Linked DNA regions of Drosophila melanogaster. The protein of the gene in region 2 interacts with the protein of the main gene of each other region in a pairwise test. Each region holds a gene or a part of one and is shown on either strand. Other genes may lie near its edges. The genes, in order: CG17002, CG14451, C15 and fd59A.

Evidence for each region.
Region 1: the proteins of CG14451 (region 2) and CG17002 interact in a two-hybrid assay, tested with the Drosophila melanogaster proteins (one large-scale study listed by BioGRID).
Region 3: the proteins of CG14451 (region 2) and C15 interact in a two-hybrid assay, tested with the Drosophila melanogaster proteins (one large-scale study listed by BioGRID).
Region 4: the proteins of CG14451 (region 2) and fd59A interact in a two-hybrid assay, tested with the Drosophila melanogaster proteins (one large-scale study listed by BioGRID).

The regions. Positions count from the first base shown.
Region 1 is NT_033778.4:6,983,414-6,991,530, forward strand, and holds CG17002 (uncharacterized protein), read left to right. Parts: upstream 1-2,629; 5' UTR 2,630-2,931; coding exon 2,932-3,363; intron 3,364-3,420; coding exon 3,421-3,520; intron 3,521-4,224; coding exon 4,225-4,275; intron 4,276-4,367; coding exon 4,368-4,852; intron 4,853-5,157; coding exon 5,158-5,355; 3' UTR 5,356-5,509; downstream 5,510-8,117. Other genes in the region: vimar (visceral mesodermal armadillo-repeats), read right to left, coding at 1,999-2,005.
Region 2 is NT_037436.4:22,719,004-22,725,291, forward strand, and holds CG14451 (uncharacterized protein), read right to left. Parts: upstream 3,089-6,288; 5' UTR 3,039-3,088; coding exon 2,244-3,038; 3' UTR 2,227-2,243; downstream 1-2,226. Other genes in the region: CG32452 (uncharacterized protein), read left to right, coding at 1-699; mael (maelstrom), read left to right, coding at 5,563-5,682, 5,728-5,926, 5,983-6,288.
Region 3 is NT_033777.3:21,496,042-21,504,145, reverse strand, and holds the start of C15 (C15), read right to left. Parts: upstream 4,161-8,104; 5' UTR 3,889-4,160; coding exon 3,716-3,888; intron 1,893-3,715; coding exon 1,477-1,892; intron 1-1,476.
Region 4 is NT_033778.4:22,864,538-22,872,531, reverse strand, and holds fd59A (forkhead domain 59A), read right to left. Parts: upstream 4,374-7,994; 5' UTR 4,031-4,373; coding exon 3,678-4,030; intron 3,358-3,677; coding exon 2,340-3,357; 3' UTR 1,826-2,339; downstream 1-1,825. Other genes in the region: CG13532 (uncharacterized protein), read right to left, coding at 140-302, 397-590, 673-736. UniProt on the Drosophila melanogaster protein: Involved in development during embryogenesis.

The DNA.
Region 1 (8,117 bases), on a different chromosome or scaffold from region 2:
CCCATTCATTCTCAAGGCCATTAGAAGGGCCAAAATCTTATTAGCAGTTAAAAGAATAAAGCGAGTGGAAGGCGCTAGGCACGGGGAAATCACAAGTCACCCAGCTAGATTTGAAGCAAATGAAGCAACGACGCCGGAATACGCAAGAAGGAGGTGGAAAAGGACAATAAATTCGAAGCCGGGCAAACTACAATAACAGCCAGCTAATCTGGGTAAGCTGCGTGGAACGAATGGAAAAGCCCAAAATAATAACAATAACAATAAAGAGGCAGCAGCTCCGGAATCTAGAATCTGGAATCTGGCGAGGGGAGCGGCCTGCTTTGGCAGCTGATATCCTCTTCCTTATCAGACTCCCAGCCTCGGGGTTGATGGTAGCCACAGCCTCAAGGACAGCAGTCAAATTGCGTCGAAGACGCCGAGCGAAAGCGTCGACAAATGCAGTCACAAAGGACCAATTAAAGTCCAAAGTGACTGAGCCGCAGGGAGGACGTGGCAAGCATCTCGCAGCTGGGATCTGCACAGCGAGTAAATCATGCCGCAACGGTCCAATGGCCTGCATCCTTGAATTTTATAGATGTCCTTTCATTAGATTTCAAAACAATCTATAGTAATGTCGAATAGTATTTCAATGTACTATACTTCAGGTATAAAACTTATGTAACACTTAATGAATGCTCCGAATGACAGGTCTTGAAAATCATATATTCAGCGCAAGTTTCCCAGTGCTTGCATATGAATTAAAATGAACAAGAACCACGAATTGTTTTCAGTGTGGAAATGGGTCTCGCTACGCTGGGCGCAGCTGGTGGGTTCTGTAGACAAGTGAGGTGTACAGTGGTGTGGGGATTGGGATGCAGCACCCCTCCTGAAAAAGGGGAAGTTTCGAGGCCGGGATTGCCGGCGCGTTCAAGTGCTGTTTGTTGTCGTTCTGCACAGGTTCCCCTCGGGAAAGGGTATACAAACAGTACAGTCTGTGGCCAGTGTTTATGTATGTGTTGATTCGGTGCAGTCACGTTTGAAAACTAAGAAGTTTAGAGACTTGTTTACGTTTAACAATTCTCATCGGTGACTGACCCAAATATAACACATCCAGTGCGTACGTTACACATCCAACTACACTGAGAAACACAAGAAAAAAAGGGGTTTCTTTTAGTTAGTCACAGCTTTATCTTGACAATGACTGCGCTTTGACTGCAAAGTAGTATCGAATTTTAAGCCCTTTTAAGCTTAATCTGTGAAGATTGTCCTAATTGTAATGTTTATCAACAATTCAACAAAGTTGCCATAGATTTCTCACTGTGCATGACTTCATCGTTTTGTTTGCTATATCACCCCCCGTGGGGATAAAACGAATTGTGAGGACTGCGGGGAGTGTTGCGACACGCCGGTAAACCTGGCACCTCGCAGGAGGCATATTCTCATTTATTAATGCGTCGTCACTGCTGTTCCCAGTTCCCATTCCTATTCCTCCTGTGCTGCGGTGGAGTGGGCGGCTCGGGTGGCGGGTTCGTGCAAAACGGTGGTGGCCGCTGTCTCAGCCGCACTTAATTCCCGCCAGAACTGCCGGGGCCATTAAAGGATAAAAGAGCGGGATTTCTGATTGGGAAGCGCTGACCCTGTTGGCCGCGATAAGTGGGTGCGCACAGCAGCAGGAGCACGGCATCTGCCTAATCCGACCGGCCCACTGTGCAGTGGGATGGGGAGTGGGGAGCATAAGTATTGATTTTTCTCACATGTCCCCGGCAAACACACACATCTTGTCTAGGGAGCCGCATCGCCCGCCCCCACCCCACTGCCCCTGCTCGGAGCAACTTCCTCCGACACCTGGCAGCGATTTGGAAGTTTTCGCAGCTCGTAAATGCTGCACTGCAGCCATAAAACGGCCGCTGCAATGACTCGCATGAATTGCGTTTGTTTATGCTATGGAAAAGGAATCCGGGGTCTGCTGTATGTCGTTTGGGATGCTCCATAGGCAGAGAAATGCTCGATGTTACTCACTCGCCATGTTTGCCGCCTTTGTTGATTATTCCGCTGCTGCTTCTTCCGTTTTTATGCTTTTCTGCTTTTCTTGCTCTGCGTTGGTTGCGATTCCAGGCACGTTGTATCACTGTTAGCTTGTAACAAACACTGCTGATAGGCTAATGACTGCTGCGCGCAACTGAACACATTTCACGGCTTTCTTTCAGTCGCGTCTCCGTTCAACTTCCGCAATATCCGTATAATTCGTATTATCCGTGTAATCCGTATTTTCCGAATCGCGTTCAGACGTTCACACCAACAACTGCAATTCTAGTGTGACCGCAGAGCTCGAGCTGCACGATACCTCCAATGAGAGATGCCATATCGATGCTTACGCATTTTATTAACATCGATAGACATTTCTAGAATGTCTAGACTTTAATGCTTGGATTTTCCAAAAACTATAATCTGTTTCCAAAAAGTTATCGATAAGTATCGATCAGTGTTGAAACTATTTGTATTTTATATTAAATTCTGGGGTGTGACTAGTAATATTAGGAATATAAGCTTTAAAGAAAAAATCGAATTCTTTATAAGTGATTTAGTTCGAACGTTAACTTAAGATTTGCCACCACAATCGGAAAGTAGCTATTTTCTAGCTAGCTTTGCCCATTAATCGATTGGTGGCAACACTGGTCGGCACATCCCACTCACTCAACAAATTGTTTACCACAAAAAACCGTGCTGAAAGTGAACGAAAATAAAGTGCAGCCCGGCGTCGAGCATTTGCAGTGATCCCAAGACGCCCAACCATTGATTCCCGTAGCGGTGTCCACCCGGATTCCAGCCCACCGCCACCAGCACGCCATTCCATTTGGGGAGCCTCTCGGTCGGTTCGGTCAAACAGTCGCGATTGCCCGGTCGTCCACGAACGCTTATAAAATTGGCAAGATAACTAAGCAGAGCACAAAGATGCCGCCAGCATCAGCGGTAAACAACAGCAACGCGGCCGCCCAGGCGGCGAAGGCCGAGCGGGCGGAGAAGCTGCGCGGGGCACTGAAGGGCTTCATCGTGGCGGACCGCCAGCGGCGCCAGGAGGAGTTCGAGGCTCAGTGCGAGGAGCAGCGGCTGCGACGGGAGCGCGAGGAGGTGGAGCGCCAGAACCAGGTGGCCCTGGATGACACACGCGGCCAGATAACCCGACTGGACGAGCAGCTGGCCGATCTGCACAGCCAGAAGCATCAGCTGACCGTCCAACTCAAGAAGGTGCTCAACGAGGACGAAACGCGCAAGAAGCTGGCCAAGGAGAACGAACTGTTCGCCATCCAGCAGGCGGCGGCCAGTAGCCCGGTCTTCCTGCCGCCCCTGCGCCTCCAACACCAGCACCATACGCTGATGCAGAAGGTCTCGACTGCGCAATTGTGGGATTCAGGTTCTAATGGTCCTCTTTTTTCCTCGCAGCTCCCGTCCGGCGGACAGCCAGGAAAACGTGGCAGGAGTCCATCGCCGCCGAGTCAGCAGCAGGCTTACTACAAGAGCGCCGCCAGCTACGCCCAGCAGAGTAAGCCAGGAAGAGGTCGACAATGTGGTCCCTGGGCCTCCGATACAGTGAACGCTGCCTCAGGCAGGCAGTCCAAAGTCTCATGCACGCAATTTCGGTTGGATTTTGTTAACTCGAATGCGGGATCTGCTCATAATTTGATTAGTCATTGAATTGGTTAGCACATATGTATGGTTCTTGATTTGGACGAGAGATATACGTGATTTTTGTGATGTCATCATCTCTACATTCTGATTGCCAAGCCCTTTTTTAAGCTCTATGAAATATTAGCACTAATATCAATTGAACTTCTAATTAGGAATGATTGCAAAAACATGGTTAAGTGTTAAGTAAATAATCAATTCGATATAAAGAAAGTTTCGTGCTGTTTAGGCTTTGTATTGGATGGTTTAGTTTAATGTGTTTTAATGTGCACAAAAATTACCCTATTATTTTGAAGGATATATAGTGTAGAAACGATATATATAGGGTTTCTAGCAGATAGCTCGAGTTTTAAAATTCAACTGCAAATTGGCATTGGCTAAAGGTGCGATACAATCACCGATTGATCTGTTCTGCGGAGCTTTCGCTGTTCTTCTTGATTAACTGCTCGCTAACACTCCGTCCCGTTCATGAGAAATCCATTTCACTGCGCACACTAACCTCTAACAACACAGGCACACAACTTATGTTCATTTCGTTATTTGTTTACGATCGATTCGCAGAACACGATGACTACCGTCGTGCCGCTGACTATGCTAGATTATCATGGAACAGTAAGCACCTCACTTGCAATACCAAGCCCGAGATCCTCCGTCGGAACGATCGCCAGATTCGTCAATTAAACCTCACTTTTCCTCTCTTCCAGAAACAGCGGCACAGTATCCGGGCACGGGAACGGTCTTCTACCAGACGGTCGCTCCTCCGCCGACGACACAGCACCAGGCGGACGCCCGCTTGCAGTCCATCTACAACTACAACCTTCCGTTGCGCCAGGCCTACCACGTGGACCTGCCCAGCGCCACGGTCAGCAAGCCGCCCGACTCGCAGTCGCCCAAGGCACCGTCGCAGTCGCAGCCCATGCAAGTGCTTCACATCAACCTCGACCAGCCGACCATTTCGCAGGCAGACCTGGTGGCTCAAGCCGGCGGCAGCCTCTCGGTAAAGGCCTCCCAGCCACACGTGACTATGGAGAAGCTACCGGACCGCTACCACATCGAGGTGAAGCACGACGGCCAGCCGCCGAGCCACGTCCCGCCTCCGCCACACCTGCTGCCGGAGGGCGTCATCTTCAAGCCGCTGCTCAACGAACTCTCATTGCACAGCAACGTGCTGCAGATAAGCAGCAGCCAGGTGGGTCTCATTCTCAACATTTGTGGTTAATTAGCCGTGGCAGTGTCTTAGAATTTACAACTTAGAACAAACAAGTTAGATTTACATCTTCGAAATCGAAGTTCAACGATTAGGCTCTGCGAAAATGGTTTTTAAAGCCTGAGCATCTTGAATAAGAGCTGTTTTCTATAAAACAAATTCATTGTTGCAGGTTTTCATGTTTTCATAGGAAAACGCATTAGAACCAACTTCCCAACTACTGATTAACATGTTTGATATCATTTACAAGGAAGAACTAAATATTCACTTGACTAACGCCTGGCCAGTTTCCTCCACAGAATCCGAAAACAGCGGGAAGCATCACACAGGGCTATGCCCCTGGACGAGGTGGATCCGCCCACGAGCAGCAGTTGGCTCGGCAACAGCTGGCGATGCTGCCTGGCCAGCCGGGAGCACCGTCCGGATCCGGCTCCGCCCAGCCGCCTCCTGGTCAGCAGATGCATTACACGCGGCGATTGTACTAGCCTCTAACCCCTAACCCCTTTTGTCGCTACGGAACTCGCTAACTGATATACTTACGATTTTAAATAGACATTACAACACTGACTACGCTTCCCACGTGAAGTCGGATAAACGAAATAAAGCACACAACTATGGCGTCCCTATTTTCCAATCGACAATACCATACTGATATTTGATATTGATTTGATATTTGGTATCAATGGGCTTCTGTGGTTCTGTGGTTATACCATAATAACTTTGAGGTATCGTAGTTCTAATCACCAACAGGCAAATTGATCTAACTCGAAAGAGTTTTTGAAATTCTGGGCAATAGAAATTGGATCATGTATACATATAAAAAATGACTATTATATAAAATGGTATGTACAGCTGTGTTCAGAAAAATAGCAGTGCGAGGAATACTAATTAATACAAAGGTATTTTTCCATGTCCCTTTTCGGAATTGACTTTTTATTCCACTTATTTTTGTTAAATGGAATGTGTATATAGGGAAAAAAAGAAAATCCGGTTAGTTTTTCATGTTATCCTTTTTTTATTTACTTTCTTAAGCGAAATCACAACTTTTAGGCTGTTCATAAGAATAGCAGTGTCTGGTTTTGACCAACGTAAAGTCAGGAAATGATCAATATTTTTAAAAAGTGAGTTTGATTAATTCGTACATTTAAAAGGGGAGTAAATGAAAAAAATTATATATTAGTGGGTAAAGGACAGCACTGCTCCCAGGAGAAAAGAATGTTAATTATTAAGCTTAGAAAGGAAGTAAAAACATATATGAACATTCAAAAAACCCTTGAATGTTCTGCCAAAATGGTATCCAATGTCATTAAATATGAATGGAAGCCCGAAAACCGTGGTTCCATAGATATAACCACAGATATATAGCATCGACGCATTGTTTCTTACAGCAAAGTCTATCCTTTTGCATCCTTTAGGGACATAAAGTCTGAGCTCAACTTGGGAATCAGGGACGATACTATTCGAAGACGACTACTAAATCAAAATTTCAGTGCGAGGAGTTCACGAAAGGTTCCCCTACTTAGCCCAAGGCATATTTAGGCAAGGTTAAGCTTCGCTAAAACCTACCTAAACTGGCCAGTCTTCAAATGGCGTAATATCCTTTGGACTGATGGGTCAAAAATCGTGCAATTTGGTGGAACGGGTTCACTACAGTATATCTGACGACCTCCAAACACGGAATACCACCCAAAACACCCACTGAAGACTTTCAACCACGGTGAACCTAAAATTGTGGTATATGCTTGTTTTTTTTTTTACAATGGTATGAGTCCATAACATATGATTTATGGTATTATAGACCAAATAGCATATGTAAATATACTCATTGATGTCTTACTGTAATATTCTGAATATAATATGCCCTTAAAATGGACATTCCACCAGGATAATGATCCGAAATGCAGAAGCAAATCGGCAAAGAATAGGTTCACCCAAAAATGGAATAGATGCAATGCCGTGGCCAGCACCACCTTACGATTTAAACCCGATTGAAAACCTGTGGGGGGAAATTAAACAAAATGTGTCGAAGAACTCCCCGACGTCTAAGGCTTAGATTTGGAAAGTTGTGCAGGATGTATGGGCAAAAATTCCCCCAAATGATGCCAGGACCTGGTGGACTCCATGCTGCGTGGGTGTAAGGCTGTGCTGGCTAACAAAGGCTATCCAGCCAAGTATTAGGCCCGAATTAACGTATTAAAAAGAAAAACTAAGTTAGTTCTAGGTCAAGTTGAATTTTGTTACTGTTTTTTTCAATATTTACATTGAAAACCAGAGTTTCTACCTATTTTGTTGTTTTAATCTATATTTTCGAAACTATTGAAGAAATAAAAGTGAAACATTTGTTAAATTGTTTAAAATTAAATACCTAATGATATTATAAAAAAAAAAAATCCCATTAAAACTGTAAATCCTAGGAATTTTTGATCTTAAACTCTCAGGTCCAAAGCACTGCTATTTTTATGAACACAGCTGTATATATAGAAAATATTTGCTAAAGTAACTACTACTCTTGCGATTTATGAAAACGGATTCATTCAACCACTTTTATGACGAATTTCATTGTATTAATATCTCAATACTGTAGGTCTGAGAAAAATGATACATTCTGTTTGGTCAGCTGCAAGTTGAGTATACTGACAGAAAAAAATATTTCAATAATGTGCGAAAGGAATTTTGACTGAAAACGCTGAGAATGATCTTTTGTTTGAGTGAGATTGATTTCACAGTAGTTTTACTTTCTGTGTACATGCTAATTTGATACCCCGCACCCATGGGAAGCAGCTTGAGGTTTTTCCGCGGCATTAGTGCATTTTCGAAATTGCTCGAGTGTGACGCATGCAGATCTCAATCTCGACCACGGGCTTTTCGTCGCCAGCGAGTGTCCCTCCCCTTGGAAGGCAATCTCACTTATGTCATTCATTTGACGCTAATTCGACATTTACAGAAAGTATTTGCTCGAGGAAGATAACCAGAAGTGCAAGCAAATGATTCATAATTGATTCTATTTTGACAATAATTGGGAAGACAGCACTGTAGGAAAAAGGGGGCAATATGATCATATTCCAAATAATATGAATATTGATCATTTTAATTTCAAATTGTGTATATTCTTAGTAATCATATTGTATGTATGGCTTTTCCATTTGGGAAAATCCGTATGAGTTATATTTTATTCCTAAGAATTCGTGTTGCATTCAAAATTGCTGAAACAGAAATAGCTGCAAAAAATCTTGATTTGTTCGTGCCA
Region 2 (6,288 bases):
CTTATCAAACATGGGGTAGCACATCGCATAGAAAGTAGGGCTTACAGGGGGGATCGTTCGAGGAGCAGGTGCCGGTCAGCAAGAAAACCCCTCCGAAAGTGTTCTAGAAGCAAATCCAAATCTGTAAGAATCACACAGCAGGAGCTTTCAAGACGCGCATCCAAGGCGCGATCAAAGAGTAAACACAGGCCACTAAAGACCGTGGCTTGCCGACGTTCCAGAAGCCGATCCAACAGCCCCCATACTCGCCTTCGCAGAGTTTCAAAGAGTAGCTCCCAGCCCGCACACACCCAACAGCGGAATACCACCTCGCCACCTTTGGCCGCAATATCGCCACGCCCCATTTCTCCGATAGTTACACTTCACGATAATCGAACTAGTCATCCAAAGGAGATGATCCAGTACCTGCTTCCTACCCCAACTGTTCCTCAAATTTTCTACAGGCAGACGAACTACACCCATACGGAGTACAGTGCGCATGCCGGCAACGTTACCGGATTCTTCGGGCAGCCTTTTCCGGTGCTGGAGCCGTACGACGTGCGCCACCGCTTGTCCACCACGCGTTCACTCTATTACGTAGGGCCCAACGATCTGCGGCACCATATCCAGGGAATATACTCGCACCAACCCGCCTTTAATGCCTACACCGAGTGGCCCACGGGGTTAACTGAGGATAACCATCCTAGTGGTTACTACTGAAAGGCTCCCTATGGTTAAGAATAAACATCATTACTTGCAATACATTTACATCATAGTTGGGTGTTCATACTAAAGTCGGTCCAACGGCTCCTTCTTGTTTTCTCTCCTACCAAAATTCAAAACGAAGCGGTCGACTTGTAAGAACAGTGGATGAGCACGCTCTTGATCTTCCTGACAAGCTAATAGTACCTCAGCACTGTGCTGTGCACTGTTTGAAATATTTAAATAAAACATATTGCTGAATTTCATATTGAACGTGCGCCCAATGAATGTACCAAGTTTAGCGTGGTGCTATTTTTTGTAGTTAAGATAAAAACAAAAAAGAATGCTATAGTCGAGTTCCTCTGTCGAGGATTCGCTCAGCTAGTGTGAATTTTCAATAATCATTTTTCTGGGATATCGATAGATACTGGGGAATAAAATGAGAAAAAATTTGAAAATTGTTCCAAAGTGACGACGGCCTGACCGGTTTAGGTCGTGAGAGTGGGCGCGGCAAAAAGTTATTTGGCAAATCGATAGAAATTTACAAGACTTTTAAAATTATGAACAAATTTTCAAAAATGTAGACGAGGCCGTTGGGAGTTAGAGCGTGGCAACATGGGTCAACAAACTTGCGCTGCGTCTTTCTAGAATCTGTATGCTGAATTTCAACCATCCAGCTTTAATATGTAGTTCCTGAGATCTCGACGGGCAGACGAACGTGGCCAGATCGACTCGGCTATTGATCCAGATCAAGAATAAATATACTTTATATGTTCGGAAACGCTTCCTTCTGCCTGTTACATACTATTCAACGAATCCAGTATACCCTATTACCAAAGACACTAGAATAACAAGATGCGTAACGGCCATACATTGGTTTGGCACTATGCAGCCACTTTTTTGGTGACGGCCAAAATTGCTCTCTTTCTGCTCGCTCACGCTGAGAACATAAGAAATCTAAAAATAGAATTTGCTTGCTTGTGTGAGTAAAAACAAGAGACGAGAACGCGTATATGTGTGCGTGTTGTGCTAGAAGACGATTTTCGGGCCGAAATCAATTCTGATCAAAGAAATGAATTTACATTGTACATATTAGGGTAGTTTTTTGCCAATTTCGTAGCAATATGATGAAATAAAATAATTTTTAAAAATTCGCGCCCTTCTTATTATAATTTTAAAGCTGTTTAAATTTGTTTGTTAAAATCATACGTGCATACGAGCATACGTGTGCACACATAAAGTTGTCTGCTATCACTGTATGCGTAGAAAAGAGCGGTTCGCTGTAGCGCTCTTCGCTCTCTCGCTCTCTAACAAAAATTCGAGAGAGCCTGGAGCCACCTCTAGAGCCACGGCCAAAAAATTGTGTGCCAAAAAATCGTATGGCGTTACGCATCTTGTTATTCTAGTGTCTTTGCTATTACTCTACGAGTAAAGGGGATAACAAACCTTTAGTTCGTAACGATGGACATACAGCCAGCAATGAAACTGTTAGACAACACTAAGCTTAAGTGTTGAGCAGCAAATAACAACAATTTGGTTATATTTGGTCGTTACAAATAATGTCACTTTATTTCTAAATCAGAATCCTGGATTTGCTGAAGCACCGGCACCAGAGAGGCGAGTTCCGTGAGCAACAAAGGGTCCCGCACAAGCCCGTCGTCAATGCCGCGGACAAGCTGCTCCATTTCAAACAGAAAGCGCCAGTCTTCCGCCTGCAGGTACCTGGATTTACCGTGGGTCTCCTGACTAGACTTTCTGAAGATGAGACGGTCAGACTGAAAGCTTCGCTCGGTTCGTACACAACAGCGATGGGTGTCAACATATTCCTTGTTGCATTGCAGACACACCGTGTCCCTTATATCCTTCTGGTCCTCCGTCGGAGTATTTGGTGTTCCATGCTGGCAGCAGGTGAGGCGCCGTTGTAGGGCGCCCAGATGCGTGTAGCCTTTTTTGCACACATGCCTCCCCAAAGTGATGGCGGACTGACTATCCCTGATGGCTGGATGCCTCAGCCGACATCTGTGGGCCACCAGCGCTGACTTCAGTTGAAACTGCTTCTGGCAGTACTCGCACGTAAGGTGTCCTGTCATGTGCTTCTCCTGGTAGTGGCGGCGGAGCCTTCCAATTTGCCGAAAATTCTGTACTCCGGGTCCATGCTTGTGGAATCTGCAATCGCTGCGTGGACAGTGGAAGCAGTTGACCAACTGGTGATCCGGAACAGGTAACTTGTGGGTGCATACAATGTGGTTGTGGTAGCGGACAAGACTCTTGTACACCTTGCCACACCACTCGCAACAGAAGCCAAGCTCATCCACAAGGTCACCCACGGCAACGACGGTGCACCTCCTGTTCTCCATTTCCACGCTCTCCTATTTCCATAGTAAAACTTATCTGATATGGCGCCGAGCTATCGACAGTGTTGGGTAAATTTGTGCAAGGCCCTTATGGTAAATTGAAATATCTTAGGTATAGCCATTTGATTGGTAATGCCTCAATATTCTAAATTTTAGAGTGCATAATTGATCAATTTTTTAATTAAGCTATTCCTAATGACGTAGGACCAAATACATTAGAATAAAAAGATGCGTGACGGCCATACATTGACCATACAAACGAGAAATTGTATATGTGTGCGTACTTGTGCTAGAAGACGATTTTCGGCCCGAAATAAATTTTCATTCAAGAAAATTTACATACATATTCTACATATTTGGAGTTTTTGGCAATTTTTTTGCAAAATTTCAACAGGGCACTGTGAGCAATACTTTTTAAAGCATTAACATTAATTTCATCAATATTTCAACTTATAAATAAAGTTGCTATCTAGAACTATAATTATTAGTTTTGTAATTTAAAACATAAATTTAACAAAATGAGAAAATACATATTTAAAAATATATTTTGTAAAAATAATACAAACATACATAGTTAAAAGTTAATATTTATAAAATAAATAAAAATATGCGACCTTTCTATTGTAAAATGTGCACAGATGCACTTGTCGGTTGTCACTGGATGCGTAAAAACAGCTGATGGCTGTAGAGTTCTCCGCCCTCTTGCTCCTAAACAAAAATTAAGAGCAGAATACTTTATATCCACCTTCTACTTCCTGAATTCTAGACATTTCTTACTGAGAGACAGGCGGCCCAAGAGATCTTAATCTTAATTGCTTGTACCTTTTGAAAGAATCTAGTATAACTTTTACTGGACGAATTCTAGACTATTAAAAATGTGATGATATATCAACACATTTATTAAAAGTGCGATCGTGACAGTTTTATGCGGCTTGTGAGCGCTAGAGTGGGCTTGGCAAAATGGGTTAACAAACTTGCGCTGCATCTTTGTCTCTAAAATCTGTATGCTTAATCTTAACCTTCTACCTTTAATAGTTCCTGAGATCTCGGCGTTCATACGGACAGAAGGACACAGCCAGATCGACTCGGCTATTGATGCTGATCATGAATATATACATATAGTGACGTATTCGGGTGGTCCAAACCGGCCACTTCAATTAAAACAGTATTGCACTTAATTGATTTTCCATAATGTATCCCAGCTGCGCAGCATCCGTTTCTAATAAAGAATTCTTTGGCAGCGGCACTCAGCCGTTCTTGTAAACATCCTAAAACCTGACATAAGCCGATTTGACTGCTCTCTTTGAACCTTCTCCTTATCTTAAGAACCCAAGAGCGAGGCTCTCCCGAGATACAAATATTGTTCAAATAATGAGGGTTCTCTCAATTCAATTTGCATTTGATTTTTACTCTTAAAAAAACTAAAACGTTAAAACTATTTCTCCGATCATTTTTTATTTCTTAGCGTTGTCCTTAGTCAACTGACGGGGCATTTATTCGACTCAAATAAAAAATATAACAACTAATTTTACTATATATATGTATATATTTTACTGTATATCGGAAACGCTTCCTTCTGTCTTTTACATATGTACATTTCAACGAATCTAGTATACCCTTTTACTCTACGGTTAACGGGTATAATAAGTTCTTTCTAAATGATTATGCTTATCATTTTAACAACAACATTTTAACCAAAAACGGTGTGATGACCAAACCATTTTCATATTCAGCATGAATTTACCGATTCAGACAAATCGTTCATACATACAAACAATATTATTACTTTACCATTAAACAAACCATTTCCAAGAAAGAATTTTTCATAGACCTAAAGCACATCGACTTTGTGGGTGGATATACATACATATGTACAATTTTTCGACTCAACTGTTTACACTGTAGTTTTACGAAAGAGAATTTCGATTTAAAAAATTTTTAGTTTTCGATGGTCGACCATTTGATTTATAAATAAGCAGTATTATCTTTAATTAGGCTGCTTTTAACTGCAAGTGCAGTTTATTCATACGATTACAAAGCATGACGATAGATGATTATGCTATTAGGTTTGATTAAACCATTTTTATGAAATATAAATTATTATATTATAAATATAAATTAATTATAAATTTACAAACTCTTATTCCATTCCAGAATCGATAGTTCTGGAATGATACTAGTGCTCAGCAACGCCAAAACAGTCAATAATAGATATTTGAAGTGTCAGCGGAATCGACGTCTGACAAAACAACTGCTTCACTTCATTAGAATTGTGTGATATATTCCACAGACCAGATCATTGGAAGAGAAGTCAATCGTGCGTGAGAGAAGCCAGAAGAGAAGCCACCCGCGACATTCCGAAGTAACCATTTCTGTAGGGTCAGACGTACATACAAACAACATTCATATAAATTGCTCGTGCTGTTCATTGGTTACCGCCTTTAGTCGCTACCTCGCTCGCACACGCGCTCAACACCTACCCTTACCCGTCAAAAATACCGACCTTCTTCTTGCCACGCCCGTAAAGATGGCTCCTAAGAAGCATAGTGGGTTTATGATGTTCGTAAACGAGTGGAGAAACCGGAACGCCGAGGGCCGACGCATGACGCTGGCGCAGGCTGTTTCCCACTGCGGCACCATATGGGAGGTAAGTTTTGGTCGATGCTGCGGATCTACCCTGTAATAAATGAAGCCTTTTCAGAAAATGAACACCCAGCAGCGTGGTCCGTACAACTCAGGCGGCAAGGACGCAAATGTGGCGCAACGCGCCAAAAGGGAAAGTTCCAACGGCCACGGCCAGGTGGACAAGGCCCAAAGGGAGGCCACCGAGAGCTTGATGGACATGAAACGTACCATCGAGCGCCTCGTGCTAAACGCCAAGATGTCCCATGGTAAGTCACACATTTCGAAGACATTTGGATTCGACTAACTCCAATCGCTGCCGCAGATCTGGAGAATGCCAAGTTTGTCTTCGTTGCCTTCAACTACTTCACTAAAGCCTTGACCACCGACGTCTATGTGCCCGCCGAGTTTGCGGCATGCGAATATTCGTTGAAGGAGGGAATCCGATCCATCTACAGCACCATGATTGACCCCGGTCAGATCATTTTTGGGCAAGGTAGCGATGCCCTGCTTCACTCTTCAACCACTCACGACCTGCCGCTGCCGCCCAACGCGCTGGGGGAGAAGAACATGACCAAGCTGTACCGCAACATTGTTGACTACTTATCCAAATGCCAGGGAAAAGGCAAGA
Region 3 (8,104 bases), on a different chromosome or scaffold from region 2:
CTTGGATCACCCGGCGGGCTCATAAGTGTGCCCCTCAGGTGGAATAGTCGACTCGAAGTGACTGATCCGATCCCATTCCATTCTATACGATCCACTCGATCGAATGCCCCTCCTCGGCGGATATACACACAAGTATGGATATGGATATGCAGCCCTCGGATCGCCAGCATTCGACTGGCTAATTAAAAGCTGACCATGTCAGTTGGACTCAAATGTGAAGTGCGGTATGCGGCGATAAATAAGCCGGCGAGGACAGAAAACTCACTCGCTGAGCCCAGCGACCGCCCAATGCGTAATTAATTCCTTTTCGAGCGCAGCGCGAAATTAAAAAGTCATGTAAACCAGCTCATTAAAATAACTAAAATGAAGAAAAAGGCCAAACAGCTAACCAGAACCACTGGGCGGATGTCGGCCATAAAAGCCCGTCAGATTGCCGGGCTGCGCTGCTCCTAAGCAGCTTTTCCACATCACAAGGCCGAAAAAGGCCCGAATATTATGAGTTATAGGATCCGAACCCTATCGGGATCCCCCTTCCACACCATTGAAGATCCCTCGGCTGCCGAGGCGTAATAAAATCAACGCCGTCTCATTATTTCAAAGGGCTCGCGCTGTGCCCATCGCTTGTAGCTACAAGTGAAGCTCATAATGTAAACAAATTAACAAAAAGGGAGCCAGAAGACCCAGCTGCACGTGAAGTTGCAGATTCAGATGGAATACAGATACAGATTCGGATACGGATTCAGAGGACCAGCGACAGATACAGATACAAATTCAACTGCGCATGCGCATGCAAATAAGAAGGCGCATCTCATTCCTGAGTCGCTTCTGGGCGGCGGCTCAGCGTTAAGTTTTTAACTTAAGCTGCGATTGCGCATTTGAAGGCAAACATGTTTTTATACTTTAGCATCCCAAGCTCACCAGAGTGAGTGTACACTGAGCGAAAATTCGTATTATGAGACCTGTGTTCTAGCCTTAAGCTGTTTCTTACCCACAGAAAATACCATCTAATAGACCATCGTAATTATATTATAAGGAAATATGTAAGTAAGCCCTTTTAGACCATTAGACAACGTTCTTCGCACCTTATTTTCAACAATGAATATACAAAAATATGTTTTATCAAGAAGTTTAAAATTATGTTCCTACACCCTATTGCACAATTGAATGCATCCAACTACGCGTTATGTAGGCACATATATAACATTTTTATTCTTAATGTTACCAATTCTTTTATTTCAAATGCCACATTTTCTCTTGGTGCACGAATGTGTTGGCCAACAATGACATGCCGATAGGCATGTTGCCTTAAAAGTCTTCTCTGATCGTGCTTATTTGGGGAACAGTAGCAATTGCCACCGCGGGTCATTGGAGGATCGCTCCCCCGAAAGATCTCGGCGAACATGGGCCATCCCGACATGGGGGCCCCGAATGGGTTGGATTTGGCAAACCCTCTTGACTTCGCTGCTATTCACTCACCTGCCAACCGATCCTTGACCGCCTGATGTGCCAGCGCCGCGTGATGCAGTGGCGGTAGTGCCCAGGTGAGCGGCGTTCTCTGGGGCGGTACACGTAGCACATGACCGCCGGCCGCTGAGGGATAGAGATGCGGATACGAGTATAGTGCTGCGGCGCTTCCGTATGTCGAGTTGGCGATGCTGGTGGCCAGCTTATAGGCCAGGTCGTGGTCCTCCTGCTGCAGTAGCTCCTTCTCCTCGCCCTTTTCGCCGCTGTTGTTGTTGTTGCTGCTGGAGCCCGGACTGCTGCTGAGCAGGTGGTTGTTGTTGTTGTGGTGGTGGTGACTCGTCTCGAAGGGCTTGGATAGCAGGCGTGATATGCTGAAGGGCAGATTCTCACTGGACGAGGAGCGCGTCTGCTCCGACTGCAGGGACTCGCTGGGAATAAAAACCGGAGAAAAGACATCAGAATCGAAGGGAAAGAAGCCCTCTGGAGGTGCGGGCTCATTAAAATGTGTCGCCCGATAAGCGGGAAAGCCTGAGAACATTGACTATAATTAAGTCTGTTGCAGTGCGTACCAGTCTCGGAACCACTAACCAAAAGCCCACGCGAGCGGATAAGCCGAGTTGACGACATGACATGCAGAACCCGTGTGGCCACCGCTGCGTATACGCAATGCGGCTGGAAATGAAGTAATTATGCAAATGCTGACGGCCGTTAGAGGCATTTAATACGCGCCCATAAATCATCAAATGCCATCAACTGACGCACCGAAAACAAGTCACGCACGGCATTTAATTTATAAATCCAAAAAGTAAAAACCCATTTGGAACAGGAATGGAATTGTATCGGAACAATGATCTCAAATCGCCAACCACCGACACACAGACACTTTCCAATATCAAAAGTTATGAGCAAACACATATTATTTCACTGGCCAAAACTTGCTGCTATCTGGTGATCTACATTCGCTGGAACGCGGGTTTTATGGCATTTTTATGACGATCTCTATTAAAATGTTAATCCGACAAACGATTTCGTCTTTGTCCGGCATTCAAGCCGAAGATCCAACTCCAGATTGAGCCCCAAATGGACCCCAATGTCTTATCACAGCCCGTTTTTGGCGCCTTACTAATGTGCGTTTTATCGTCGTCGTCTATTGGAAACCCTGGCCATCCGTGAACTATGTAAATTCAGGGAGTTTCTTTGGCACTTTATGGGACATTTCGACTTGATTCTTTTGGTGGCTTTGTGGTCAATTCATTAGCGTTTAAGAGGTTTGTTCACACTGTTCTTCTAAGCGCACAAACGCTTGAATGGGATCAGTTAACACGGTCTGCTGGATGCTCTGGCATCTTGTTATCCCCTTTTGTCGCTGGAAAATGGGACCATTTGTAAGAGCGGACAATGGGGCTTAAACATCAACGCATTTCAATGGCGTTGAGCCACGATTCGAAAAATAGGATTTGTGAGCATTATGAGTGACAATGTTAAAGATCGTAAAACAGTGGGAGTTATGAGCTCGTAATAACAAATGCAAATAGCTTTTCTCCGCCACAATACTTGTTTGACTTTTATAGGGCAATAAAATAAGACTGTATGCCAACTATTATAACTATAGCTTATAGATCTTTTTCTCTCAGTTAGTCGATCAAATTGCTGTCGATCTAAATTTTGACTTATGAGTAATTAACGAATAATGTGGCCAACTAAATCAAGCCCAGTACTTACAAAAAAATATTTATTAATTTGCATGATGATCATAACCATCAAGAGTAAACGAAAAACTGAGCTTTTTCTTTAATATATTTTTTTTGGGGATTTTCCGTAATGAATTGTTTCAGACCAATTATTATGTTTGTACATCGTATAATTTGAAAGTAAAGCCATTATTATTATTAATAGAGATGCAATCTCTTTTCAAGTTTAGTGTAGCAGATTATTTACGATACAATTAAACCAAAAATATTTTTTATTGTTCGATTTTGCAACGTACATAAATTCAGACGTTATTCATATTTGAAAAATATTTACCAAAATGAATTTTAAAAAAAAAGGCCTCTTCAGTTTTAAGTAAGTAGTACGGAAGCCAAAGCATTTTATCACAATCTAGTTAAAAAAATAATATATGTATGTATATGTAGAAGTCTTATTGTAATTGGAAGATCTGCTTATTTATGGTATATCTATACTGATAATATCTATATTTTTGGGACATTTTTCCTACTTCCTGGTTCTATTTAAAAGCTCTCCTTCTCACCTCAATGGCGTTTCGGACTCGTCGTAGCAGCTGCCGCCGTCCATATCCACATCGGATCCGCTGCCACATGACATCCGCGAGTCCGAGTCCACATCCACGTGGATCTCCTGTTCCTCCACCTCTTCGCCGTGCTCGTTCTCGTGCTCATGGTCATCCTCCTCGTGGCTGGACATTTTGGCAATTAGTGGCGCCAATTTGGAGCTCGCTCACTGCACTTTTCGAATCTTATTGGGCACTCTTTTCTCTTAATAGTTAGATGTAGAGTGTTTCAACCGCGAAGCACACACTAATCGTCCGATTGATTTCAATTCAGTTTCCGCGCTTAAGCACTACCCGTTGCGGGAAATTCCAACTGAGAACTGCTTTGGATTCACGGATTACGGTCTACGGATTAAAGTTTACGGATTACGGATGGCGAATTGCGAGCTGGGAGCGGACGCGTGCTAGCGGGCGAAAACGCTTTTCATAAATGCAATCAAATTGTGCCGACGGCCGCTGCTCTGCCTGCCCTCTGCCGACTTGGCTGCCTCTGCCGATTGCTGGTGGGTTTGGGCTGTTGGAGTGAGCCGGAAACAAGTCAAACCAGTTGCCCGACGTCGACGCCGCTGCCGACTTCCTTCCTATTTCGGTTAAGAGCCAGTTTGCCACCTTGTTTGAACCTAACCTACCATAATACCAGCAACCTGCCTCTTCTGGTTGGTCCACCCTTGAGCCATCCATCCCGCTCTGATCGCACATGCGCCTGACTGCCTCTCGCTCGTGGAAACAGGTTTCGCTCTGCCCGCCGATGGGCAGCACTGGTCGGTAATTGAGCCACGGGGCGTGGCCTCGGCCAACCGCCATTGGCCGCTGGCCGGAGTTTGCCCCACACACTTGCCACTCTCGACGTCCACTTCCCGCTGGCAGTTGCGACGACATTTTAAATGGAAAACGTTTTGCTTTTGGGGTTTTTTATTAGACGAGAGCATGAAGAGAATGTATTTTTATTTCGATTGTTTCTATTTTCAGGTTAGCCAAGCGTTACCACTCTGCCTCGCTCTGTCTCACTCGCTCGCCCGCAAATCACCCCTGCAGAGCGAGTCAGCCAACTGACGAGCGAAAGAGATCACATCCGCCCGCCGACTCTTTTCCGCGGAAGTGCAAATGTGGCAGATTAATAGCACAATTGGAAATAGCGTTCTGTCAGCTTGAGTTCACAAAGCAGCGGATTTGGCCAGGAGGGCTGCCCTGCACCACCGCCTAATGTCACCCCTCACCACCTCACACCGCTTACTACTGAGATCTTTATTAGCGCCAAGAGTTCTACGCGCTATCGCCTGGCATTTGGCAGGCGGCGATTGCGATAAGCAGACTCGAGCTGAAGCCACAGGAATCCAATCCATTTGCCCCGGCCATGCGAATGCAAATTGCGCGGCATGCAGTGGATGCAGCAGCTCTGGCATTTTCCACAAGTTCACCCCACGGGTTAATTGACAGTTTTTCTTGGGCACGAGCCATGTTACTGCTCATCGCTGGCCGGGATCTCGGTCCTAGTCTTAGTCTCAGTTTCAGGTGTTGTTCTAGCCGGCCTGGATGGAATGCGTGTGTGTGGCCAGAAGCGATTGCGTACTCCGTTTTCATTAGCTGAGATAGCTGAGTCGAGATGTGGAATGTGAACCCCTTCAGAATAAGGCAATGTTATGAAAATCCCAAATCCTATTTGCGATAACTTGGATAATGCATTACTACGCTTAGGAGATTCGCTACTGGTCAGAGGATAATTATATCTATATTTCATAATAAAGGGTTACTATATCTCTACTTGCACAGTTTGGTTACTCTTAAACATGATTTGCTTTAAGGTCTTATATTGTACCTCACAAATACTATTCTGTGATTTAAAAGAGTGCCAATGTATGTACATATTGATCACTGGTTTTAAGCTGCATATGCAGCTTTTTGTTCAATGTTAAATTATGTTAGTTAATTATATCTACATATCTTTACCTATCTTTATAATATCATTATTCATAATTTGATTATTATTCAATTTTTCTTGAGAGTGGGCTGCAGAATCAAACCGTTCACTTTGCATTTAAACGGAGTCCGATCCTAGAAGTAACGACTATAAATATTCATTTCTGCACTTAACTGGCCATGTTTCTGTGTCAGACACGAGCAAAAAATCATGGCCAAAAATGAAGAAAGGCAATTACTGCATATTCAATTGGCAAGGCACACAAAAGCACACGCACACCACTTGGCAGTGGAAAGGACTCTGGAAAAAGTCACGAGGCGAACTCCATTTCTCTTCGTACCGCCTCGCAATGTCATTGTTGCTGTTTTGCTGCTGCTGCTGGCAGTCGTTGGTTGGTAGGCCTTGTAGTCGGCTAATTGGATTTCATTTGGGCAGAAACAACGCAGAAACAATTGCCGTAATAAAAGCAACAAAGATAGCAACAACAGCGCCCCATCCACGGCAATTGTAATGCAATTTTAATGCAAAACGAGAGGCGGCCAACATTTTTATTGCATTTTTACTTTTATTTCACTTAATAGCAGGCAACAACAATAACTGCAGCGGCAGCAACGACGAGGAATTGGTGCTTGGTATGAATACGAAATGATGAGGCTCAGACCACCACATCGCATTCATGCAGGGGCAGGAGGAGATGGCTAAGAGGCTGGTGGTGGTGGTTCCGATTCCAAGATGAGAACGAGATGACGGTGGGCGATGGGCGGTGGCAGGGCTGTGGAAAATTAGTATGCAGCGTCGCACTGCAGTCGGGTGGCAGACAAAACAGCAACAACCAGAACAAACTTAGCCTAAGTGTATCTACACAATCACTGGGAGAATAGGTTGTGTCTTTCAGATTATTGGTGAAATTCAATTAACTTTAAATCAGTTAACTGCTTGTCGACTTTCTGTGAAAATCCTTATATTTAGTTGTAGGATATTTTTTTAGTACCCACCTAAAGGATCACCGATTTGGCGTACCCGCTTGGTCTAAAACCTTGGAGCTCCAATCTCATAGCTTTATAGGGTAAGGATACAGGATAAAACCAACCTCTGGAATCTAATTGTTATCTTTACAGTACTTTTGGAGTTTTAACTTCTCAGAGCTGAATATTCCTAATAATCAATGTCTGAAAAAATATAATTTTATAATTGTTACCGAAGGTAAAACCAAATTAGTTGGAATAAATGCCCGAACTTCTTTCAGTGTATGCACTGTAACTGGTGCAGCCACAGCTTCAGTCGTTGCCACTTGACTTTATTGGCAACTTCATGGAATATTCAGCAGCAAAGTTTGGCGCAAGTGCCTCCGAATAATACCGCCCCAGGAGTCGCTCCAACCGCTCCTGCCGTTCGAAATCCTGGCAGTGCTGCCAACCTCATTTGGTATGCATTTTTATTTGGCTCATATACAAATGGCGGAGCACGGCGCGACTTTGGTTCGCCGTTGGGGTTGGGGGATGTGATCCAGATTGGTGTGACAGCGGGGCTTGTGGGGGTTGCCGAGCTCTGCAGACCAAGTGTCACTTAAAATGCCAATACTGATTATAGCCATCTCTTGCGCTCCCTCTCTGACTTCAGGCATCTGTCTCACTTTCTCTCAGGATGGCGCAGCAAGGATTTTATGTGCGGTCAGGGCTGGGCTATTATTGGTGACAGTTTTACCTTTATGCGAATCTAAAATGCAAACATACCCGGGAATACTTTGTATGAATACCAAAGACATCGCCATATACGGGTAGAGATGGTCCACTAGCTAATGAATAAGGAGGGAATATAGACTAATACCTTTCCTTCCCTAACTCCTAAAAAACATATCTAGTTTCAAGCTTTAAGGTTTTTTAAATCGCATCTCAAATAGCTATCCATACTTTGTCAGTACCTCACTAAATACTACCTTGCCATCACTGCTATCGGTATCTCGATATGTGGGTTGGTTCATTCGGTGATTTCCCTCAACGCAAGGAAGGGTGCTATCCTTGGTGAAATCGAACTTAAGTTCCTTTCCAGAGCAAGGCCGTCGTGATTGTTTTTTGAAACTCGATCCGTCTGTCCACACTTGACTTCGATTAGGCCAGGCTGCCCAAAATGGCTTGAATGCGTGTGTTTTTGTTTTAGCCAATTGGCCACACAATTTGCCAACCAATAAATTAACGCATCAATAATTGATCAGACTTGAGGCCTGAAGTAGGTGTAGTAGTGTGTGTGCGGGGAAAATATTTTGCCAATTTCAAGGCGAACGGGGAGAAGTGAACGGCGCCCCACGTCTCTGGTAATTTGGCTCAAACGATTGCCTAAAAGCGTCTAAAATCAGCAACTGTGGTTTCTTTCTTTGTTCTTGGGGCTGTTGGAGTGTTGTTAGAGACATTTCTGAAAATGATTTGAAAGCAAAT
Region 4 (7,994 bases), on a different chromosome or scaffold from region 2:
CCCGGCAGAACCAGAGGCAGAACCACCACCTTAGACCTTTCGACCCCCACCACCACCTGCTACCCATTCCCATTCCCATCGCCACCGCACATCTTTCACCGCCGATCCTTTTTCTTTTGGCCGTGGTCGTGACACCCACCGATTATTTGCAGGCGGGCACTCCGCTTATCCGTGGACTCGAAGGTCTGCACTGCACAGGTGTACTCCCCCGTCATGTTCCAGTCGGGATTCTTTATCGATATAACACCGGGACTGCCCTCCATAGTGAATATTTTGGTGTCTATCTTCGACTTCATGAAGCCCTACAGGCGCAAGAACAAGAACAAATCGAAGACAAAGACAGAGTTCGATTAATCTTAATTAATTCGGTGCGACCAAAGACCCCGAGTGACTCACCATGGCGAACCCCTTGACCGATGGTATCCACTGGTAGATGGAGTGGTTATTGAACAGCCATTTGAGGACGAATCCTTGCTCCCGCGGCCCGATCTCCACCTCGCAGTCGAGCACCAGAGGATCGGGTTCGTGGTCTCGGAACAGCGTGTAGGTGCGTGGCACCCGCAGGTTGGTGATGCGCACCGAGTGAGTGACTATGCGGCATGGGGGCGGAGTAGGAGGAGTACAGGATTAGTTTGGAGGAACCCAAAAAGGATGTATGCGAGAACTGCTCACCCGAGAGTAACGCGAGCACGGCCAGCAGCGTGGCGCGTAGGCCTCGTCCTCGCCAGCCCGCCATGACAGCCGACTAGTTTGCCTCAGCGTCGCTGGGCACTCCAGATCCTGTCGCTCGTGATCCTCCCGTTCCGCGAGGACGCGCCGTCGTTGTGCGTGGCAATGAATACTTCTGTGGTGGTTGGACGTTTCTACTTATCGCGGTGCTGTCTGTTTTCGGCTTGCGCTTTTATGTGGATACATGGGGGCCTTTGGTTGCACTCATTATCACCAATCTCATCACAGAAGCAGAATGGCAGGGGGATGCTTTTTTCTGGGGATACGGGCACTGACTGGCACAAACTTTTCTCGGCCCAACGAGCTCAGCACCTCGGACGCAGCAGCTCCTCGCAGGACATCTCCCACTGCAAGTCGCAACTATGGCAATCTCCTTTTATGGCCCGGGCCATTTAAAGTTTTGCCCACACAGGACAGGATACTTTTTGTTAGCGAAAAATCGACTTTTTGCAGCCCACATACACGAACATCTACGGCTGCGATAGTGTGTGCGTGCGGAATGGAGTCCGCGGGGGCGAACTGTGCCAAAAGTGGAGTTCGTACTCTCGGCGTAGCGCGTGAGTTCTGCTGGCGGATACCAATAGTTGGTGTTGGTATCTTCGGCGGCACACTGTTGTCCCGCTGCCAGGCGCAGCTTTTCATGTTTTAACACTGGAAGCCAACGGGACGCTCGTGGGAGAGCGGAGCTTTCGTTTGGTAGCGCCGAACTCCACGGCGTTCTATGGCGGCACAACTACGTCCTGCGCCAAATCAGCTGAGCGATGGTCACTGCGCAGGCGCTAAAGCTGAACTGATTTCCAGGCAGGGGTGCCACACCTGGACAGGTTTGCTGGGCGGTAAATTCAAATAACTCGGGGTGTTTTATTGCAAACAAAAGGTAACAAAACGTCGAAAAGAGGGATCCCTTTAAGGATATTATTACAAGGAAGAGAGTGGCCACATATAATAATATAATTATAAAAATAATACAATATTACAGGTATCAATAGGATTAAAAATTAATATTTAGTATACTACAAACATATTAGTAACATGCTGTAGTAGCTGTAGTAACAACACGTATATCGGTACCTACCAGTCAAACATGTATCCGTGTAAACTATTATTATGTTGTTGTTTATTCAATTTTCAATAACATCAGCAAAAATCTTAGTCTAATTTATAGTTAATAGTGTTCCTCTTGCTTGGATGTGTTACAGTTACACGCAGACGCACACGCACACACATACACATGATTAGTACTTGCATGGTAGATATAGGTCTAGAACCTGAAATCCCGACTCCAGACCCCAAGAATTCGTGTTAAAAGTATACTATAGACGTGCGATGCTTCAGATTTACATAGATATTACGCGCAGATATATGTTTAGTACGTAAGTGGACTGGCAACTATAGCGTTGACTTCGATTTGGTCGCATTTAAAAACTCGTGTGCTGGCTCCTACATCCTACGGATACACCTACTGATCACTACTTGCTGCTCGGATTGGATTCCTGGGGATTGCTGGTGGTGGTGTTAGTGGGCTGTTAAAACGTGCTTAGATCGAAACTGAAATCACCGTTCAATGGACTGTACACAAGCCAATTGGTTCAAGCGAGTGGGAATCCCGCCTAGTCGCTGGTCTCCTCCTGGCTGCCACCGCGATGCAGGTGGTGGCCAATCAGCGTCTCGATGCGAAAGTCCTTGGCGCTGCTCTGTTTGCTGGTCCGCAGAACCAGGGGCTCGCTATCGAAGCGTCTCCTTGGACTTGAATCGGACGCCTCGGCAGAAGCCTCAAAGATCAACGCTTCCGGCGGCGCATCCAGGCGATTTGTACAGGCGCTGTCCACCGAGTCCGAGATATGTGAGTCCTCCTGCTCATTGCCGCTCTCCACGTCGATCTTGTCCTCGCATGAGTCGTCATCTCCCTCGGCTTCCGCATCGGCCTCTGTGTCCGCATCGTCATTGTACACATTGAGATCCATGTAACCACCGCCGGCGGACAGTCGTTCTGCGTAATCCCTGTGGCCGGGAATGCCCGCAGCACTGGCCACAGTCGCCACATCGAAGGCGTATGGGCTTTTGTACTTGGAGCCACGGCTGCTCTCGGATCCCCCGCCCACTCCTCCGCCGGAGCCACTGCTGTGCGGTAGTGCATCCAGGACATCCGCTCCTCGACCGCGATTCATGAAGGGCAGCCGGTCGAACTTGTCCCCCGACTGACTTCCCTGGTAGAAGGATGCTTCGGCATTCGCAAAGAAGTTAAACTTCTTGTCCGCTCGCAGCGCTGAGTCAAAGACATCCGCCGGATTGTGGACCACGTCGAACTCCCTGCTCCCATTGAAGTTGGGCACGTTGAAATGCACTGGCACGAGGGGCACGGGCTTGCGTATCCAAAATGGAGACAGCGTGCCAAAGACCGCCGGAAACGAGAAGCGTTGCATGGTGGGCGCCCGTTTGTAGCGCTTCCGCCGGCGCAGGAAACTGCCGTTGTCGAACATGTCCTCCGCCAGCGGGTCCAGCGTCCAGAAGTTGCCCTTTCCGGGATTTCCCGGCTCGCGGGGCACCTTTATGAAGCAGTCGTTCAGGCTGAGATTGTGCCGGATGGAGTTCTGCCAGGCGGGGAATTTGTCCTTGTAGTATGGAAAGCTACAAGTAAAATGCACAAGTTATTTAACATTTTTTCGAGGAATTTTTTTTAAAGAATTTGGTTGTTTATCTAGATCACTTACATTGCAATCAGTAAATAAAATATCACATTTTAAAATTTATAATTTTTGAAATCGATTAAAGCACTGAATGTCTCTTCTTTTCTATGTTTTCAATTGAAATTTTATAGGATTTATTTATTTTTATCGTCTTTACAAACTACTACTTTTATTCTCTTTTTCTGATGTTTTAAGATAACTTGGAAAAAATCAAACTATTGCTTCTTCATTTAAGGATATTAACTTTGCTGGCAAACTCACCGCGACATGATGAAATCGCAGATCCCGCTGAGCGTGAGCTTCTTGTGCGGTGACTGAAGAATGGCCATGGTGATTAGAGCTATGTAGGAGTATGGTGGCTTTACCAGGGGACCACCCGAAGATCCCGAGCCGTCTCCGTTGCCGCCGGCGGCACCACTTCCGCCCATGGACGACGGCTCGATGTCGCTGTCGTCGCAGCCCATGGACATGGCATCTGCGGCGGCAGTGCGCGAGGACGCACTGCATCCGATTCCGTTGCCGATGGAGGAGCCGCCTCTGGAGCTTTTGATGAGCGGCGGCGAGAGGGAGACGCTGTCGTGCAATGTGTGCATGGGATCCGTGCTGGTGTGCATGTCTTAGCGGGTATACACTGTAGTCTATTTGAGTCCGCGAATTGGACTCACTAAATTTAGAGGACGCAACACTGTTATTTAACTATTTTGCTCAGGAACTGTGTTCGTTTTGGCGTTTCACTTGCTTCACTTGGCATTTGCATATGCTTTTCGATTCAACTTGGAATTTGATATTTTCTTTTCTATTTCCGCTTCCGTTAACCGTTCGCTGTTACCGTCGTTTCCGGTTTAGCTGCTAGGATAAACTGTACATATGGCCAGCAGTGGTGTGGAAAGTGGAAAGTTGGCTAGCGCCTAGTCCGTCGTCGCGTCCGTTGAAGGCGGAATCCGCTGGCCAAATGTTAACTGAATCGCAACGAAAACGAAAATCTTCTCGCCCAAAATGTTTTTCTACATAACTCAAACATTTATTTATGAAAAACCGCTGCCATTGCCGCTGCCGCTGACGTTTCCCTGAGCTTTTGTGTCGCCGTTGCTGTGTTTTCGTATCTCGAATAACTGTGATTCTACTGCCGACGTCGCCGTTGGCGCGGGCAGAGCATCCTGACGGCATCCTGGCAGCATCCTGGCTGCGCCCCGACAGCATCGCAGCAGAGGGAGAGAGAGCAAGAGAGCCCGGCCAAGCCTCTCTTTCTAGCGGGGGATGGGTTGATATCCTGCGAACCAATCTATGCGAACTAGCTCGTGCCATCCCTCTCCCACTCGCTGCAAGTCCTCACAAAATGGTGGAGAGCCCTGGCTGTAAATGCGATATTTGTGTTTTCCTCTCTCCAAGCGGCGGCAAATTGGCAGCGACTGCAGAAGCCAACGAACGCGGCGGTGGGGGGGATAAACATTTTGCGCAAATTTAGATACCTTTTGCCGCTTTGACGTCGTGGCTCTTAATAATGTTTCATTATGTCAGCCACATGGAGGCAGGCGTCCTTTTCCCCTGCGGCCCTCCCTCGTCCTCGCACTCGCCCTGCCAACCACCACTCTGCTCCTCTGCCCCAAATGTTATGCTTCAAATGTTGGCATTTTTATGTGCGAATGTTTTTCTAACCGTATGTCGACGTTTCTTGGTTTCTCTCGGGCTCGCAATCTCATTCCCAGCCCTCTGTCCCTATGCACAGAAAGAAAAAAAAGAAAAGAATCTAATTATGTGTTTAATTATGTAAAGTCCAAATTCCACAAATCTTACTTAAGTTAAGTAACGAAGTTATAGGGACTTTTCTTTGCAGTTAGATAAGTAGAATTGTATTTATTTTCATAGGATATATTTTGTTGGTTATTCTAAGAACGATTAACTGAAATATGTATATAATACAATGTATTATTATTAAATACATTTAAAAAAAAAAAAAATGCATAGAACAGTTATGTCATTTTAGCAATGCGAAAAAACCGAAATAAAATATAATTTTAAAACAATACATACAATATACAATACATCTAATATAGATAATATTGGTTTTTTTTCTGTATATTTTATTTGGGTGTGGAAGTGAGATGGAATCAAATGCACCATTTTCACCAACATCCTCCGAGCACAATGGGGGCTACTAGAGTGAGAGAGAGAGAGCAGTAGAGTGGGTGGGACGGGAGGGGGTTGGACGTACATGTGTTTGCTGCATTTGTACTTGTATCCAAGTGAGTTTTGTACTATTTCTCTTTTTCATTTTCGCTGTTTTTGTTCTCCAGTTGTTAGACATTGTTGTTGTAGCCATTGTTGTTGTTCGCCATTCAGTGTTTGGAGCCTTCCCTTTTCAAATTAAACATTCAGTAGTCACTTTTATTTGTTGTACTTTGTTCAAATTAGTTTTCCAGTTTTGCGGAAGTTACCCACACACAACCAAACACTCACTCACACACACAGATGCATGGAAACAGACACGAATACAATAAGGGCCGCCATCTTCGAATTCAGAACCATATTGATGTCGCTTCTTTCACTCTTGGCATCGTTTTCATTATTCTATTTTAGCTTTGCCACCCCCAAAATTCCCATTTGCCAATTCCCCCACGCCCGCCCACCTTTTACCCATTGTTACACTTACAAATCAATGATTTTTTGGCCAGATTTTTAGGGGCGTGGCATCGGCCATCGGTATGTATCTTTATCCCGCTTAGTAGTGTTGGTATTATCAGGGGGCATAAATAGAAGGGTGTATATACAATACTTACATGGGGTCGTTTCTGCTCTGCCTGCTCCCCAATTTCGAGGCGGAAAATTTATTGAGGCTTATCCTTGTCTTTTTATGAGCAAACAGAACATTTCATGGCAGCCAAATGAAATTGGTTGGACACAGAATGTAATCAAGTTTTTCGAAGCTAACGCTTAAACTATTTCGGAACTTTATAAACAGGTAAATCAAGCAAAAACGTACCCAATTACTGGAAAATGCTGGAAATCGAAAAGGAATATGTGTTTCAAACTATTGAGTATTAATTGCATGTGTACACTGTAATGACAACAATTGGTAATTAATTCCGACTAGAGTCAGCATTAATATATGTGTAACTGTATCGGTAGAATGGTTAACAACAATATAGCTCACCATGCATAGAGGATAATCTATCTATAGCTACCAGTCATCCTCAAAAACATTAGCCCACTTTATCCCCCGCGAGTTGCATCTAGTATATCGAAAATATTTGCCCTTTCAATCCACTTTTCATTACTTATCCGCCTGCTCAATAGTTTCCATGGCAATTAAACGATTCCAACAGCCACTATCCTGGGCCAATCCGTGGTCACAGCCGTATCCATGTTCCCTGTCAGACTACGGTTAATCGCCGCCTTAGCACGGCAGGAGTCCGGATGAAGGACGAAGGACTCGGGCGGCCAGTTGAGCGTAAGGATGCGGTGCATTAAAGCTTTCGCAGGGGAACAATTAACTTATGGCCAAACAATAACGCCGAGGAATGCACGCTGACAGGAACCAGCCACCAGGAGCACATCCTGCTCAGCCTCACCGCCAGCTCCATCTCCGGGCTATATATATCTACATGAATATCCTGCGTCCTCATCCCGCGCTGCAGCAACAGCGGCATGATCCAGCAATAATCCCTCTTTTGTCAGCAAATTTATTGCACACAAGCAAGCCGGCAAAGGATATGCCAAGCGGATGAAACGGAGCGCTCAGTGGGCAGGAGGGGTAAGGACTGCGGATACCGATTCGGGATTGGTCTCTGGCTTGGCTGAACCCAGACTTTGACAATACAAATCTTTATTGCGAAATCTGCAAAAGGCAAATAAAAGATTTGACACTTGAATTGCTTTGACTGCAAGGATTCGGCAAGGACAATCGCCACTTTTGGCTCAAACAAAGGACACAGTTGCTAGCCACCGACGATGGTCCGCCTTCATTATGCACTGGGAACAAAAAGAGGTCATAAGATATCTTCATTTGATATTCAAGTAAATCAAAATGGCTATGGCAGCATCTAATTATTATTTAATTATTATTTTGTTTATTAATATTATCATTATCTGTATATATCGAAATATTTCAGCACCTGTACGACATTTCCAACAACTACTAATTTAAGAAAGTGGTTATGTCCTTCGACAAGTGTACATCTTACGAAGGGGATCCCCTCTAATTTGCGCTTGAGATGGCGCATCCTGTCGCATCCTGCATCGGTGGACGGCATCTGAGGGTCGGTGGCACCTGCTGGATCGCAAAGGCAAACACTTGAGGCCGCGTAAGAAGTTCGAGAATGGCGAGGGATGGCAGGTTTAATAGCTTCACTTCTTATGTGATTATTAAATCTTTGAAGTATCTGAAGGCGCAGAAAACAAGTCAGGCTGGGGCTCTGGTCGTGGGAGATACACATACAGGCACTTGAATACTTAAGTGACGCTCAATTTGATGGACAAGGACGTCGAGAATCAGCGGGCAAGCCACCCCAGGATTGCCCAGGACAATGGGAAAAATCACAGCAGGCAGCGAGCAAATTGCACAACTGCAGCCGCAAATTC